4 linked regions of the Caenorhabditis elegans genome follow. The protein of the gene in region 1 interacts with the protein of each later gene in a pairwise test. Each region holds a gene or a part of one and is shown on either strand. Other genes may lie near its edges.

Region 1 (3,691 bases):
TGCAAAAAAGTGCAGTCATATGTATGTAAAAAAATGAATTGAAGACAAAAACCCCTGTAGCGCGACCAAAAACGAATTTCTTGACCCAGAAACGAACCCATAATACTAAAAAAAAAATTAGCAATCCATTTTCATAGAAATTCTCCCAAAATTCCGAAATTTTTATTTTTGTTTTTTGTGCCTGTAAATACCTGTTGAAATTGGAATACAAGACAAAAACCCCTGTAGCGCGAACAAAAACGAATTTCTTGACCCAGAAACGTACCCATAATACTTTTAAAAAAATTAGCAATCCATTTTCATAGAAATTCTCCCAAAATTCCAAAATTTTTATTTTTGTTTTTTTGTGCCTGTTGAAATTGTTGATATTGAGGAAACCTGTTGAAATTGGAATTCAAGACAAAAACCCCTATAGCGCGACCAAAAACGAATTTCTTGACCCAGAAACGTAATACTAAAAAAAATTAGCAATCCATTTTCATAGAAATTCTCCTAAAATTCCAAAATTTTTTTTTTGCAAAAAAGTGCAATCATATGTATGTAAAAAAATGAATTGAAGACAAAAACCCCTCTAGCGCGGCTAGAATATAACTTGTAGGTCCAGAAACTTATCCATAATCTTTTAAAAAATTTAGAATCCAAATCTATGGAAACCCTACCAAAATTCCAAAATTTTTGTGAAAAAACTTCTGTCGAATACCATAGGAATTCTTCTAAACTTTGAAAATTTTCATTTTTGTTTTTTGCGCCTATATTTGGATTACCGGGGGGAGTCCCATAGTTATTGGCGGGACATTCAAATTTTCTAAGAAAAAATTTAGGCGAGAAACTCAAATTTCCTGAGAAAAAAAAACATTTTGGCAGGAAATTCAAAGATTCATAGTCCGGAACTAGATTTGCTTTCTTTCCTTGTTAGTAGTGCGGCATTTCTTTTTGCTGCAAGATATGCCGTTGTTGTTCTGCTTATTTCTGGAAAAAATTTCATTTTAATATTTTTGTGAAAATTTTCTGTTTTTCCATGTTTTTCTATGAATAACTTTTATGGAAATTTTTATGAATTGTTTAGCTTTAACAATCCTTCTAACAGTTAGGAAATGACTAAATATTATAATGGATCTTTTAAAAATTTGTGGAATTTTTTTTTATTTCGGGTCTGATCGTGCGCCAATTTTGGAGAAACCAAAACACTGTTGCTTGTTTGAATCCCAACAATATTAAAATAGGATTACTGGAAACGTGAGTCAAATTTAAAACTGAAGGTAACTTTTTTTTTGAATATTTTTATTATGATATTTGGACATTTTTAAATTTTAATGTGAACGAGTTTTAATCTTTTCCCACAGGCCGTTGTCCATCTTCAATTAAAGTTTTTTTTCATCTTTACAATCATCAATTTTATAAAACCTTCAACTATGCTCAGATATAGCCGACTCAAACTTTTCATAATTTCGAAATTCAATTTTTTTTCAATTTTTTTGTTTCCTTTTGATTTGGTCATTACGAGTTCGTTGTCGTGTCAAGATTTGACCTACGACAAGTTGGTGTTGCCTGCAATGCGTGAGTCGCGCGACAGGTCTGCCCTCGTCTTCCGCACACTATTATCGATCGATGGTTTATGGCCGTTTGCTGACATTTGAATGTGCCATTCTCTCATATCCACAGCTATACTTTTTTGTGGTTTTTTTTTTGTTATTTTTCATGTAATTTTCGCCTAACTGAATCTGACGTCTGCACGATTTAAATTTTTTCCCACTCGGCAAGTTGCCGCAATATAAGATCCAAAAAAACAAGACATTTCTGTATTTCCTTTATTATGTACGTGGCAAATAAATTTGAGAACCTTCAACTAACTAAGTAAATTTTCATTTTCAGCTACCATGACGTATTTCACTCACGAAATGAACCAAATTATGGGGCTTCATCATCCGGAAATGGCGATGCCCAAGTTCAAAATGGTCGCCCTGGTCAGTGCTGCGATGGAAGAAGCGGATGACGTGTTTCCGGAGATTGAAGTAGTTGTCAAGTGGATCACCGACTTGTTCCCGTATTACAAAGTGTTTCACGATATGTACAAATGGGAGTTTGTTAATCATGTGGCCTGGGTTCTGGACACCGAACTGTGCTTTCGTCGAGAAAGGTGAGTTTTGTGAAGTTTGTAGAAATATTTTTAACAAAAATTTGAAACATTTCAAATTCTTTTTCAAATATTATCGGAAACTGAATTTTGTTGTCAGATTTGCGTGTAGCGTTTAAAAATTGGTTTTCATATAATTTTCAACAAATTCAAGTAAATCCAGAATGTAATTACAACAAAAAATAAAAATAAAGTTCTGCTAAAAAATATCAGATAACAAGTTATATAGCCAAATCATACAATTGCTGTTCATATAATTTAGACATAAGAACCAGAACTGTGCGGCAACCGGCAACCAAGTTGCCGGTTGCCAAAAATTTGCCGAAATTTCGGCAACCAAAATTTGCCGGTTGCCAAAATTTTTTGGGTTTGGCAACTTCGGCAATTGCCGGTTGCCGCACAGCCCTGATAAGAACCCCACAATTTCTCCAAAAATTTCACCAAAATTTCTTTTTATCAGTTTTTTGGAAAAACAAAAATATGTGAATACTCATAAAAACTGTATTTTTTTGGTTTATAAATTTTGCTAAATTTAATCACTAGCACTTACTTAAGAATAACTCCAAAAAAAACTTAAGAAATAACTCCAAAAACTATTCGTATATGTTTTTTTATACTTTCAATTTGCAGAGACGTGAGATCTGGACTATGGGCTTATGAAGACGGCAACAAGGATATTCTGGATGTTGAGGAGGAGTTTCGAAAGGATATAGACGAGTTGAAGCAATATGTGGAGCATCAGGTGGAAATGGTATGTTGCCATGGAAATTTCAGTCATATTATATTAAAAATTGTTTTGCAGACGGATCTTGCTGGACGGATGTATTCGATGTCCTCAACCGGGTGATCTCTTGACAAGTTTTTCATAAAAATATTTCATTTATACATTAATTCAACTTATTCACTTTTTAGATTTTATTGAACCAATTCTGTATATAAAAAAGTTTCCAGTTCAAAACATTCCTACCAACATAAATTTCTTCCGGAAAAATTGGAAAAAAATCATACAAACTTTGTTATTTCTGACAAACGCTGTGGGAAACTAAAGCAGAAAAAGAGAGTGAAAAGAGTATAAGCCTAGTTGAAGACAATTCTATGAAAATGAAAAAAACATTTTTCGATCTTTTGTCAATGTTGAATGAAACAATAAGATTCAACACCACCTTTTTGATCATCAATCTTCCGAACTTCCACTTATCTGAGCATGTGAGCAACTCAGAACCACCTTGGTTCGGTGAGGGGATTGAACCCTCGACTGTTGACTCCACGGTCGAGTGCTTTACCACACTTGACCATGTTGCCAGCTCAGGATGAGTCACTGATTGCGTTGAGTTGGCGCCATGAAAACGTGGCGCGGTGGCGTAGAATGGCGCAATTTGTGCTGAAAAATGAACACTAAATGTGGGTAAAGTATATATTTCTAATATCAGAATTTTGCACTGATTTCAATGGGCAGCTTCAAATTGTTCAATTTTCAATCTAGCAGAAATTGGGACTTTTGCCAAAAAAAAAAATAAATCGTCAAATTCTATTTGTAAACCACGTTAAACATTATTA
Region 2 (4,871 bases), on another chromosome or scaffold:
CTAATTATTCACTCTTGCTTTTTTAAATTCTCACTTTACTCCAATTCGTTCCCATATTGTTCTTAGCAAATTCCAATCGCTTGAGTTTATGGTCTGCAGAGAGTAACGGAGCAGGGCGAAGTTTCTGACGAACGATTACACCAGATCGTTTGATGACATTGAGGATGGTCCTTTTTGAAGCAGACAATTGAAGCTCATTGCGAATATCTCTTGCCGTCTTACAGGAGTTGGAGGCAGCACGAATCACATTTCGTTCGTCACGCACGGAGAGAGCTTTGCGACGAGGAGCTCTTTTAGATGTACCGTAGCTCACCGGATCCTTCAGATACACGCGAATACAGTGTCGAGAACGGGAAATTTTCCTACTCATTTCATGCAGGGACACATTGAGCAATTTCATAACATCCAGCTGAGCGCGTTCAGTGTCCGAAAGGGCAGATCCTCGAGGCATTGCAAGTTAGACTGCTTTCGAAGTAAGCTTTCCAGCCTCTATATGTGTGCCACAACACATGCCACAATTCCACATTTAATAATTCACGCAAAAAATAGTAAATAACATCTGTGAGGGACAATTTAACTTGAAATATTGGTCCCATGGAACCTTGTAATCAAAGAAAAACGATTTGATTCCTGATAAGCCTTCCATTGTTTCCTGCTGCATATTTTGCCAAATCAGCTTGACTACACAGTCGAAACATCTAAAGTGCGTGCTAGGAATTTTAGTAGGAACTTGTTAAAGAGAGTTTATCAAGTTTTGGCATTACCGAGAGCACCAGGAAGCTTGAAACAGACTTGAACATCAAAGATCGGAAGAATCAGAACCAGTCTGGAGATCCCACGAGAACATTTCGTATTAATTTTTTAAAGTCAAAACTGCTTATCTGAACTCATTTCTAACTCAAACTTGATTTGAGCTTTGTCAAAAATTCCAAAATCTGTTGATTTTAGTAAAAATCGTGAAAAAAAACGGGGGGTCCTATAGAAGTTTCACACTGGATTTTGACGTTTTTTCCAGCGCGACCTCAGTTTTTGAGATAAACTTCTGGAAAAAAATGTATATAGGTTTTTTTCAATTTAAAAACGAATGGCATTAGCAGTTTTTCAAAAAAATTTTCGGAAGTTCCTCAAACCTTCAAATTAGGGGGGGGTCCTATAGAACTTTCCCACACTGTATTTCAAATTTCTAGAAGCAGCCGACATTTGCCTGGTTTCTAGAAACAGCCGACATTCGCCGGGCTTCTAGAAGCAGCCGACATTTGCTTAGTTTCTAGAAGCAGCCGACATTTGCTTAGTTTCTAGAAGCAGCCGACATTTGCCGGGCTTCTAGAAGCAGCCGACATTTCCCTTGTTTCTAGAAACGGCCGACACATCACGGGTTACTGGAAGCTCCCTTCAAGTTTACCTAGGAGCAGCCGACAACTCACCGGAAAGCTCTCCTGATTTCTGACATATTGACTATGGAACAAAGTGGACACATCGAAATCCGGGTCATTCTTCATCATCATTGATATTCCAATAGGCATTGTGATATGATTATTCCCGCAAGTCGCCTGATCTTCAACATCCAATAAAAATGACAAAATAACATCTTCATTATTGGAAACTGGAGAATCGCAGCCATTCGGTGAGGGTAGGGATGCATCGATGCTTCCACTATTCGTGTCGGACTTCATCTTCTTCTTCCGTGGATTCTTCTGCTTGCCGATGACGTCACGATCCGGTCGAATGGCTTCTGGCTCCATGCCAACTGTCAGGCAACGCTGGAACCGGCAGTAACGGCATGCGTTGCGTTGATCCTTGTCGATGGCGCATTTTTGGGTGAATCGGCAGGTGTAGGTCTGTTGGGATCGGATTGTTCGGCGGAAGAAGCCCTTACAACCTGAAATTTTAGAAATTTGAGCGATATCTCAAAAATTGAATCTTGAAAAAGTTGTGTAAACTATTGAAATATTCCAGTCGAAAACATGAATAAGTCATAAATTGCATGATTTTTGATAGCTCAAAGTTTAAGCTCAGGCTTAGGCTTAGGCTTAAGCCTAAGCTTAGGCTCAGGCGTAGGCTTAGGATTTGGCTCAAAGCTAGGATTAGGCTTAGGCTTAGGCTTAGTCTTATGCTTAGGCTTAGGCTTAGGCTTAGGCTCAGGCCTAGGTTTAAGCTTAGGCTTCGGCTTAGGATTAGGCCTAGGGTCATAAACTCAAGACCTTAGGCTTAGGCTTAGGCTCAAAGCTAGGATCAAGCTTAGGCTTAGGCTTAGTCTTATGCTTAGGCTTAGGCTTAGGCTTAGGCTCAGGCCTAGGATTAAGCTTAGGCTTATGCTTAGGTTTAGGCTTAGGGCCATAAACTTCAGACCATAGGGTTAGGCTTAGGCTTAGGATTAGGCTTGGGCTTGGGCTTTGGCTTAGCACCTTAGGCTTAGGCTTAGGCCTAAATTGGAAAAAAAGAAAAACTCACCATAACAAGCCATTACTCCATAGTGTTTTCCAGCCGACCTGTCTCCACACACCATACACTGCCCATCACCATTATCCATTCCTGGCATGACCTGTTGACTGAAATTTTTTTAAAGTTTTTGGGGGTTTTGTATCTCAATTGTAATCTGTGAGTACTGTAGCTAGGTACCATACGGGTACTGTAGTTGGATTAGGGGTACTGTAACTTGACACCATATGGATACTGTAACTCTACTTAGTTCCTTTATGATTACTGTAGCTAGGAACCATTTGTGTACTGTAGCTATGAACTATATGGGTGCTGTACATCAGCCCATATGGTTACTGTAACTACTGTTGCTATGTACAACATGTGTATTGTAGCTATGATCTATTTGGGTACTGTAGCTAGACCCCATAGGGGTACCAAAACTAGACTATAGGTACTGTAGTTAGGTACCATATGGGCACTGTAGTTGATTCAGGGGTACTGTAGGTGATAGACTATGAATACCGTAGGGTACTGTACACTCACCCATCATCCTCGTCTGTTCCAGAACCATGATGTCCATAGGTATAAACCGTCGAAGGAGCAAACATATAGAGATGCTGCAAAAAAAAGAAGATGAGATTTTATATTATATTTTTAGTCGGAGCAATAAGTAAAAAATGAGAAAATAAAAATCTTTGATGCTTTGAAAGGAAGGGAGAAGCGTGACGGATATGAGGGGGAGGGGATAGAAAAAAGAGCAAAATGAGCAGAATATTTTTGAGTAAAACTTGAGAAAAAAAGAGGGAAAACAGCTCTAAAGCCTAAGCCTAAGCCTAAGTCTAAGTCTAAGCTCAAGAATAAGCCTAAGCCTGAGCTTAACCCTAAGCCTAAGCCTCAGCCAAAGCCGATTACTAAACTTTGGTCTATGCCTAAGCCTAAACCTAAGCCTAAGGCTAAATATAAACCTAAGCCTAAGCCTAAGCCTAAGCCTAACCCTAAGCCTGAAACTAGGCCTAGGCCTAAGACAACCACGCAAAGAAAACCAACCGGACAAAACTGAAAAGTAAGTGTCCAATTTTGGCCTGACCCCCAATTTCTCAACAAAATTTCCCGCCAAATCAATTTTTAGGAACCAGTTTTCTCTTTTAAGATGATGTTTTCTGTTTCTTTTCGTTTTTTTTTTTGAGAGAGAGTAACCGGGGAAAGTTTTAGGGGGCAGAAAGGGAGAAAGATTGGAAAAGAAAATTGGGGAAATTTCGTTCGACCGGTTTTCTGAATTTTCTGGTAGAAGTTGGATGGGGGAATTTTGTGGGAATTTTTCGGGGGAAATTGAAAATTTTCAGATATTTTAGAGTAATTTTGAAAATTGTCGGACTGTAGGAATTTTTCCGAATTTTTAGAGCTTTTTCCAAAAAAATTTTCAGACTTTTTTTTGAAATTTTTTAAATGGAAATTGACACCAAAAATTGCTCTTCGGCTAAAGACACTTAGATATCCTAATTTTTAAAGGTACATAAACTATCACTTTTAAAATTGCGGAAAAAAAAGTTTTTTTTCGAAAAAAAACAACTATCTGAACAAACAAAAAGTTCTAGATTTTCCGTCGATCTCAAATTACCAACGTTTTTTTTCTTTTTTTCTCGTCATGAATTCTCAAACTAGAAACAACTTTGTTCTGTTTTGAAAAAAATTAGAAAATTGGTAATTTTTAATCTCAAAAATTTGAAAAAAAAATCGGGAAAAATTAAAAAATAATTTTTTAAATAGATTTTTACAGGAAATGTATGGTTTTTTTTGAAAATTATAGATATTTTAGAAACATATAAAGTTTAAAGAGAAATCAAAAAAAACCTCCCAAAAATTAGGAAAGTTTTTGAAAAAAAAACAATTTTTGGCAATTTTTTTTCAAAAAATCGAACAATTCCAAAACTTCCCCAAAATCAAAATTTTCCAAATTTTCCAAATTCCATACTAAAATCATGCTCAGGGATCCATAAAATGTTGCATTTTCTTTTCCTGTCTCCCCCAAAAAAATGTGGAGGTGAGCTCTCTTTTTCTCCGGAGAGCCAGCGGAGAGGAAATTTTTTTCTCTCCATTTTTTTCTAGCGTCTCGTGCGTGTTTGTGTGTATGTATGTGTATGTTTAGAACGGAAACATGCATTACATTTCGAAACCTTCTCCCTTTTAGTGCTCGAGCCCCCAGAAGCTGAGAAGGGGGGCAAAAAGGTGGAAAGAATTTGTGGAGAAAAGGAGAAAAAGGAGAAAAATGTGAAGGGAAAAAAAGAAGAAAAAAACGGAGAAAAGTAACAAACTTGTGTGGTGGTGGTGGCAGAAAATGAGGGCGACACGACGAGGACAGCGTGGCGTGTGGAGGGAGAAAAGTGGGCGGAGCCTCTGGAAGGTTAAGCTCATTTTGTAGAGAAAATTACAATGAGAAGATGACCTAATTT
Region 3 (4,500 bases), on another chromosome or scaffold:
TTTTCTCTTGTCTACTTTCATTTATTCTACAATTCTCTTAATTTATAAAAATTTAGTAATATTTCAGATACTTCGACGACGTGAAAGCCATTTGAGACTTCAGCAGCAGCCAATTGTCACTGGTGAGTTCTTTTATTGGTTAAAATTTAATATTGAAAATCGATAAACTAAAAAACTCTGCATAATTAAATAGTAAATTCGTGTTCAATTTCGTTCTTTCCGAAAAACAATGTTGAATTCAATCGTCGACTGAATTTCTGATTTTTTTTTCTGAAAAGATATCACATTTTCTATTAATTCTAAGTAGTCTGAACCAGCTGGGCGACAATTCCAATTTCGCTATTTTGACAGTTAAACAATTGCGGAAAATACTGAGTTATCGAAAGTTCATCAATTCATCAATTTCCAAAAATGCCGATTGCTGGGAAATTGAAAATTCTCTAAAAATGTTCATATCCAAGAAGAAAATCTGAAAATCTGTAAATTTTTATAAGTTAATATACAAAGAAAAATTAGATAAATCTTTTGCCACAAAAACTTCACTGCTGTACGAATTAAATTTTCTTTCATTTGTAGATTTTTTTCAAAATATTTTAAATGTGCACAAGACATTTGGCCAAATTTTTAACTTGATCAATGTCGATCAATATATTTGCCGAAAATGTTCTTTTGCCGCCCATCCTGGTCTGAACTTAAAAATGTTTGCGCAAATTTGCCTCTAAGTTTTTTTTCTAGTAAATTGGAGAATAAAAATTCGCAAAAAGATCTCAATCACCTCATAGGCAACAATTGCAAAAATATCCGTTCAATAATTCTTTATGCAAATACTGAACAGTTAAGATAATTTCATCATTTCAATATCTCGACTTTGCTTCACAAAAGAACAATCAATAATTCGACGGCAAGCTGACAAATCAGCCATCTATCCATCTGTCCGTCTGTCCACACAAAAACATACAAATCGAGTATGCGGAGGAGGAGTCTATGTTCTTTCCCTCAACTCTCTGCTTCTCTCATCTTCTCTTCCCTCTCATCTCGGCCCGTACAGCTGCATCAAAGACTCTCAAACATCGGCGCGGCGCGGGCGCACGCTAAATAAAAGGGGGAAAAGGTAGTGAAACGACACGTGGAGACGCAGAACAAGCAGCGGGTACCGTAGTCGCGCAGACCTGCGAATCACCGATTTGTCCGCTGTATATAAAGGAGGGAAGAACGCGAGGTCTGCGTGTGATCGGCCAGCGCCTTTCTGCTCCTATTCTCCGTTTTTCCCCCTTCTATCTCCTCTTTATACACTATTTCCCTTAGATTCTCTCGTCTCCTCACCGAAGCGCTCAATCACTCGTCTTTACGCGCTCTCCTCCAGTCCTGGCCAGTAGATGTGTAAGTGTGTGTGTGTGCGTTGACATCGAATCGAATCGACACGACGCAGAATGGAATAAATGGCGTTATCATTAAAGAATGAAATAACCAAAATGAAAGCGAGAAATAGAAAAAAGGAAGATACCATCACGCCTCTTTTTTGTTATCAATTGTTGTACTGATGTGATGATCTATATTGTTATAGTGATCGATGAGACCCGAACGGCTGTGTACATACAGAACATATAGAACATAACACACTTGTTGCGAAACGGAGTTGCTCTAACGGGAAATGAAATATAACAAAATCTAATTATCTGAATCCCTTTGTTACTGAGCACAGAATATTTTAATAATTCCAATCAATATCAAATAGTGACCATTAATTTTAGAAAAAAAAGTTTGCGTTGATTATTCATGGGCTCTAAATGTCTTTTCCAAAGTTGTTAAGAGAGCTTCTATGAATGAAACATCATGTCCTTCTTTCATGGTTCAATAATCTCTCATTTCATCGCTTTACCTCAAGAGTATTATACAGTAGCTTCCAACTTTCAGTTAGTCTCAGGCCCATCATCGATGACGTCTTCGGAATAGTTCTATATCTCTCGAAAACCACCCGTTGTTCGTTCTTTCTCTCTCTCATTTTGTGCCTCCAAATCTCCACAACATCGTCTTCTCTCGTCAGCAACGTTTCCGTCGGAGACACTGACACTTTTGGAAGGAAACCAGAGAATACATATTTCGAGAGAGGAGAAAACAAGATGGATCAGAATAGAGGAAGCGATGTTGGCTTTGCGGTGCCGATGTTACCCGTCAATTATGCATCGGCTACTCGTTAGTTTTGACCTTATCTTTTAGGGTGGATGGAACAAAAAAGAAACTCGATTATAGATAATCGGAAAACGTACATTCATAAAATCTTAAAATGAAAGCTTATTTATTTTCAAAAACCCTTAATTTGTTTTGGGTAAAACCGTCAGTATCCGGCATCATTTCTGGATCATGAACTATCTAGAAACTTCAAAAAATATGCGACTTAAAACAATTTGTAGATGTAATATCTAAGAATTAACAGATTAGGATCAAATCGTTATTTAAATTTATTTTTCAGAAAAAATGTCAACGTTGGCATCCACTTCATCAGCCGGTGCTTCATCATCAACAGGTAGCAGCAACCAACAGCAGCAACAGGCAGCTGCTGTGATCCGAAGACGTCGTTTCAGCACTGCAAAAATTCAGCCAACACGCATAAAGAAGGTTATGCAAAGTGATGAGGATATCGGAAGAATGGTTCAGTCAGTTCCTGTCAGCATCGGAAGAGCAATGGAGCATTTTGCGGAGAAGTTTTTACAGGTGAGAAGACTCAGTCATAGTTATTTTGAACCTTGAATATATATTTGAGGCTGCCGCAGAAGCTACTCAATTCACATCTTCAAAGACGCTAAACCCTCAACACATGAAGCAGGCGGTTCTCAACACTCCACACTTTTCATTTCTAGAATCAGTCTTCAAAGATGTTGCACTTCCACAGCAAGCATCTGAATTGAATACTGCACGTACCGGCATGACATTGAGAGGACAGCAAATGCTCCAAGAGCAACAAAATTCAGATTTTGCTAGTGCAATTCTTGCCAATGCGCAGATGCAAATGATGCAAATGGATCAACAAGCATTGAAACAAGAAGATGGAACTATTTCTCCTTATTTAGTTGATCCGCAATCCCCAGCAGCACCACTTCCACTTTATCTTCAAGGGATTCCATCCAATTATCCAGTAGTTCAAGAACTCACAGCCACCGTACCACTTTCTCCTAGCACTCCGACAACTCAACTCGTAAATGGTATGCTAGGAATGCTCAAATACTCGAAAAAAGATTCTGAAGGACAACGTCTCACAGGATTAAAACGAGCATCTACTGATGGTGATGGAGAAGACAGACCAAAGCGAGGACGCCCAAAGAAGTTAAAACCTGAAAAATGTATTGATGATGATCTCTACGAGGAAGCTTCTAGGAATATAGCCAAGGTAATATTTGAAAAGTTTAGACATAGAATCAAAATGTTCTAAAGATGTAATTTGATTTACGGTTCTGTGATCCTTTTGATCTAAAGCAAAATTATCATTTTCAGGAAGACAAGGATCGCGAGTTGATGCCTCCTCCAGCACTGCCTATTGGCCGTCCGTGATCCTCACTTCTCTATGAGAAATTTTATTCTTCTCCTAATCGTGTACTTTTCAATGGTCTCGTTGCCCTCCATTTCTGATCTAAATTTCTCCTTTTCTATTGCTCCAAGTTAAGAAAAAAAAAACAAATCCTCACCGGGTCTACCCTATTCTCTATTTCTCTTGTTTTATTCATTTTTTGTCGTTCACTGGCAAATCAAAATTTAATCACTTCGATGTTCTCCCAATATGAACCATTACCGACCCACACCTTCATAAATCAGGATGCTCGTCGCTTTTCATTAAACCTTCCAAATGTTCTCTGTCATATGTTTAACTTGTTTTGCTCTTTGTCTCTCTAATTCAATTTTTCTCTTCATTTTTATATTTGTCATGCTTTAGAATTCAATTTCCGTTTTTGTAGTATTTAATATAAAAATTATTCAACCAGAAAACGTATATTTCCGACAGAAAAGACCACTAAACTCGCGCAACAACTAGAGCGATCTACATTATATTAGTATTCAGCTAAATTATGGATCTGAGCGAAGATGAAGATTTATTAAACATTGAAGAAGAAGGGGAAAATGAGAGCCAAAAAGAAGAAGTAGATTCTGTAATTGTTGGTTTGTAATATTTTGTCCAATTTAAACAAAAAAGGAAGTTCAGAAGATATTCGACGTCGTCTTTTCGATGTATTCAAGATGTTTGACGAGGATTCTGATGGTTTGATTGAAGTGAGGATTACTGTAGTTACTGTTGAAACTTGGCTTTTCACGTGGTGCTTTTCTCCAACTTTCTACTCATTTATATCATTAAGAACCGGATCAAATAGACATTCCACCTAGTGTAGGCGTCACGGGGAGCCTATTCCCGCCTTCCCACTCGCCTTCCTCGCGCCCTTCAGTAGGGTGAGTGAAGAGGCGAACACGCCTCGAGTGCATGAAGTTATTTTTCATACTTCATAAACTCTTAAA
Region 4 (4,793 bases), on another chromosome or scaffold:
TACAAGGAGGCAAAACATTGGATCTTCGAGTTTTTGTTTTGTTCACTACTTACAGGTAAAAGAAGATGACTAGATGAAGCTGATGAATAGTTGAGAGGTATCCTGAAAAACACAAAAAATAGGTACCGTAGGTGTAAAAGTAATGAGTTGGTAGCAAAAGCCGGCAGAGCCCAATTGGACATCAGGCGCCGCCCCTAAGTGGAGCTGAGTTGGCAGCACCACCATGATTCAAAAACAGGAGGAACAATAGGAGCGAGATATTGGAGGATGAAATTTACATATGTGTCAGTGATTAACAACACAAAAGTAGTTGATTAGCAAGTTAATATGGTATGAATAGAGCGTGTGATAGGCACATTTGTTTGCCGGAGGAATAATTAGTTTCATAACTTTTGAAAAATTTTGCAGTTAACTCGGTAGATGGGTGAGATGGAAAGTACATAGTATTAAATTGGAATATAGATAATTTTAAGATAGTTTAGGTCAATAGAAATATTTTATTTCCCAGAAATATGAAGCAGTGAAACCAATGAGATACTTCATAAATTTTATTATTTATGTTTTTTTAAAGGAATAGTACGAAAATTTGAAATCTTCAAAATAAACCGAAATGTAACTTTTCAAAGTGAAGTAATGTAAGGAAATACAGTAACTTTTTGGAAATTTCTCTCAATCATGGTTAGAAAATTTAAAATTCTCACATTATTTTGGCGTGAAAATTTTAAGTTTAGACTTCATAAAGACTACAGTACTCATTGCAACTGAGTGTGAAATTATCAAGCAAAATGAGAGTTTATATGGGTGCGAGATTCGCGGAGTTATGAGCCGTAAAACAACTGTGAAATGAGTGAAAGTTGATGGACGACTCGAGAGATCATTAAAAGTTTGATGACCTCTCAAAAAATGGGAAGTTAATGTCGAAAAAGTGGGGGAAGAAGGGAGGAGACTCGATGATTTTTGAAGAATAATTTCATTGAAATTTGTGAAATCTTCGATGAAGCTGGATAAAATTTAAAGGGCTTCAATCTTCTTTTTAACCAAAAAAAATATAGAAGACCCGACACCAACTTGATACGTTGATAGGTTTTCAATTTCGTATGAGATTTTCAAAATTTTTGAATCCAAGGCTTAACTGAATAGGATAAGGCCATCGTTGTTAAATATTAGTCGCGATGAAAACTGACTAAGTAGGAGCTTAGCCGATTAGAAATTGTGTCGACACGTGGATATGTCCATGAGGTCAAAGTTGAAAATTCGAAATGAGGAAGTAGCTAGTACGAAATAGCAGAGTAAATTTTGACTTTGTTACTAGAAACTTAATGTTTAAAAAATTAGAGCCTTCAGTTTTAGAAATCTAAAAAATATGTTTTTTTGTGGTTGACTTCCATCCATCATACTCGTTGCATTTTTGAAGTGCTTTTTGAAGTTTGAGTTAAAAATAATTTTAGATTATAAAAATGTTCAATCAAATCTACAATTCCTCACAAAAACAGTCATAAAACCTGCTCAACTTTTTCTAGATTATTTTTTTACTGGACTTAAATCAGACGATAAAGCTAAGAAGATCATATGCTTATCAAAGATCCAGTAACACTATCGAAAAAACTCTTCGTTAACATTTGAAAAATACATTCAAAATTGCCGTTAAAAATTAAAAAAAAAATTTCGAATACGAAACCTCCACCAGAAAACAATGGGAATAACAAATCAGAGATGAGATACGGTGCGATTTTGCTGGAATAAAAACTCAACAAACAAAACAAGTTCAACTTATGGTAATCTGGTCGGGTGGATCTAGGATAAAGCTTAAAATGAAAATCTTTGGCACGATGCGGTTTTTGGAAAAAAATAATTAAATTGAAATTCATGAACTTTCAGGGGGACAAGGTAAAACTGAAAATTACGTTTTCTAGCTTCTAAAAAATGTTATAATTTGAGTGGCTTATATCTCGATTTTCTTAGGTTTTTATCAAAAAATGTTCCACTATCAAAATATAGAAAAAATATTTTGCACGTATTTTGTCAATTGACAGTTGTTTGATGAAACCATTTGGAGCCAAAACTGTCAAAGTTGAGCAAGGTCTAAGACAAGTCTTTTTTAGAGAAATATGGTATTCAAAAAGTTGAGTAATCATTTTAATTTTCAATTTTTACGCAAAGTTACTTGCACCTACCGTAAACTTAGATACAGAAACCTATTATCCAGAAAATACTTATTTTTTTGGAACAAATGAAACTACATATAGAAAATGTAAAAGTATTCCATGGAAAAAAGACAAAAGTTTTGAAAATTCAGGTGAGAAAAATGATCGAGAACGGTGAACGAAGCTGTCGATAAAGCCGAAAAGCTGAGAAAGTTTAGAGAAAATGGAGGGAAAGCGGCGAATCGTTGGGAAACTAAGGGTCCACTCTTTCCTGGTTGCCACGCCTCTTTCGTCACTTTCACCTTTGCGCCCCTGGTGCCTGCACCAAAACAACTGCCATCGAAGTAGATGGAGGTGGAGAGAGCGACGGATATATGTACAAAAGAAACATCAACGAACACTAGGGAGGGCTAAAAACAAGATTTTTTCATTCGATGGCGGATACTTGTACCAGAAAAACGAAGGAAAGAGAAGCATCAGCGAAAGTTTCTGTTACTTTATAGTAATTGGGTTGATGATGGCAAAAGAAGCTTCTGAAGCTTCAGAAGGTGAAAAGCAAAACAAGAAAACAACATAACAAGAAACTAGAAATTTCAAATCTACCACAGGCGTTGGCCTAAGTCCAAATGTGGCTCTAAGGGGGTGTCCATCTCTATGCTCTCGATATGTCAAATAAAGAGAATAAGAAGGTTGAGCACAGGAGCTCCTACTCCCGTTTTCGCACATTTCTCAATACGATCACACTCCTCACCTTTTCTTTGTGTCTATGTCATTGTGTGTACAGGCGCAGGCGGCCGGAGACGAATCCCCACCAGCGTCTTCCGCTGATTGCGAACGGTTTCAGAGAGTGAAGTGGTCAGTTGGCTGGAGCACGTTGGAGAAGAGGTTGTAGGATGCTCTGAAAATACAAATTAAGGAGAGATGAGATTTTTTGAAAACGGGGGAGAAGGGTTACGGTAGCTTCTAACATTGAAGATTTAGGTTTCTGAAAAACAAAAGTTTTAAATTTAGAGCCAAGTAAACTTTTCAAAAAATGTTTTAAAATGGTTTTTTTTGCAATCACTCATAATTTCAGATGTTGAACATGAAAATGTTCATTTCTGCATTGCTTCTATACAAGGCAGGCTCGGTTTCAAAACATGGCGCCTGCCTGAAAACTGGCTTCCTCACACCATCTTCGCGCATTTTTCTGAACTTTTTTTTAAATTAAGAAATGACGTTTTGGCGCCTACATGAACGCTCTAAACTTCTGCAACAAATTTTTGAAATTCAAATTTTTTTAAAAATATTTTCATTTGAACATTTCTTTTTTACCATTTTACCTAATCGTCAACTGAAAATTTCAAAAAATCTAAACAATTTACGAAGATTTTGTTTTTCTACCGTAACCTATTTTTTATACCGTAGCCTATTTACTCTAAACTTTTCTAGCTGAAATAAAACTGAAAAAATCTTAAAAAATTGTTCAAATACAGAGAACAGCGAAAAAAACCACCCTGTGGAGAGCATTTCAAGCAAAAATAAAATAAAAATCTGTCACAAAGCTACTATAACAAGTGACAAATTGTGAAAAATCTGGATATTATAATGGATAAAATAAGCTATCAAAAGTTGTAAACCACCATTGGATGATCCCTGGATGTTCTCAAAATCTCCATTTTTCAATCACATTTTTCATAATCTTATAGCATATAGAGCTTTGATGTTAAAAATAGTAGGAAGTTACGGTATGAGCTCTCTGGATGTTTGGAAATGCTCAAAAAAGAAATCGAGATCATTTTGGATCAAGATCATTGTTTTCTTTTCTCAACCTCCAGGCGCATTGACTCTTCTCCCATACAAGGTCGAGAGGTGGCTCCCGTTGTGTTCCGAGTTAAGCTTGCACACACCTCTCACTCTTGCTTGCAATCTATATATGTGTTTGCGTATCGTTTTCTTCTCGGGGACGCCAAGTCCTTTTTTGCGAAACAAACAGGAGACTATAACGACGTGTGAGCCTGCTGCTGTTGCGATGAGAAGAGCAAAATGGGATCGCGGGGGAATAATGCGACAATCAACGCGAAAAGTTGCGCGCGCTCATCTTCAAGCCTCGCTAAGCCCATGGACTCGATGACAGACACCAAAAAAAGCTCGATGAATGGGGGAAAAAGAAAAGGTGAATGAAAAAAAAAACAACAAACGGGAAAACAAAAATGAATAGGTGTGAACTTTGAGCAGGTAAAGATTCTAGAGAAACTAAGAAAACAGTGGGAAAATTTTCGGAAAATAAATTTGAAAACTGTAGTCTGTAGAAGTCCGATTCTTTCGAAGAAATGTAAATAATTTCAAAAGGTGAAAGTTCTTATTTTTAAAGTTTTAAATCAAGAAAACTCATAGCGCAAGCTTTAGCTTTTTTCTGGTATGTTGAAAGACACTGAAAATGTTTCAAGTCTGGCAGGGATAATACGGTATTCCAAGGTAGTGCTACCCACAAAAATCTCAAGAAAATAAACCATTCATTGTAATCTCGAAAAAGTCAGCCTAAAACCTAAATTCTAGTTCTGAAAATCTCCAAAATCCTAGACACATATCCACATCTGGTTTGAACTTCACGCAATCATTGTTCACTTTCACGAGACGCAGACCACTTCTCTCCCCCTTCTTCTATCC

Evidence for each region.
Region 2: the proteins of T27A8.2 (region 1) and nhr-88 interact in a two-hybrid assay, tested with the Caenorhabditis elegans proteins (one large-scale study listed by BioGRID).
Region 3: the proteins of T27A8.2 (region 1) and drap-1 interact in a two-hybrid assay, tested with the Caenorhabditis elegans proteins (one large-scale study listed by BioGRID).
Region 4: the proteins of T27A8.2 (region 1) and fozi-1 interact in a two-hybrid assay, tested with the Caenorhabditis elegans proteins (one large-scale study listed by BioGRID).

What each region holds. Positions count from the first base shown.
Region 1 is NC_003284.9:16,057,121-16,060,811, reverse strand, and holds T27A8.2 (Fork-head domain-containing protein), read left to right. Parts: upstream 1-1,866; 5' UTR 1,867-1,877; coding exon 1,878-2,137; intron 2,138-2,764; coding exon 2,765-2,885; intron 2,886-2,936; coding exon 2,937-2,981; 3' UTR 2,982-3,136; downstream 3,137-3,691.
Region 2 is NC_003280.10:2,976,583-2,981,453, reverse strand, and holds the start of nhr-88 (Nuclear hormone receptor E75), read right to left. Parts: upstream 3,039-4,871; 5' UTR 3,030-3,038; coding exon 2,965-3,029; intron 2,550-2,964; coding exon 2,452-2,549; intron 2,186-2,451; exon of another isoform or gene 2,111-2,185; intron 2,066-2,110; exon of another isoform or gene 2,012-2,065; intron 1,880-2,011; coding exon 1,425-1,879; intron 699-1,424; coding exon of another isoform or gene 609-698; exon of another isoform or gene 524-608; intron 1-523.
Region 3 is NC_003283.11:9,730,045-9,734,544, forward strand, and holds drap-1 (Transcription factor CBF/NF-Y/archaeal histone domain-containing protein), read left to right. Parts: upstream 1-1,914; 5' UTR 1,915-2,120; coding exon 2,121-2,193; intron 2,194-2,470; coding exon 2,471-2,712; intron 2,713-2,761; coding exon 2,762-3,385; intron 3,386-3,489; coding exon 3,490-3,546; 3' UTR 3,547-3,978; downstream 3,979-4,500. Other genes in the region: cal-7 (EF-hand domain-containing protein), read left to right, coding at 4,059-4,149, 4,193-4,260.
Region 4 is NC_003281.10:9,280,036-9,284,828, reverse strand, and holds the start of fozi-1 (Formin-homology and zinc finger domains protein 1), read right to left. Parts: upstream 3,049-4,793; 5' UTR 2,896-3,048; intron 1-2,895. UniProt on the Caenorhabditis elegans protein: Acts redundantly with hlh-1 to promote body wall muscle cell and coelomocyte specification in postembryonic mesoderm progenitors, probably through suppression of sem-2.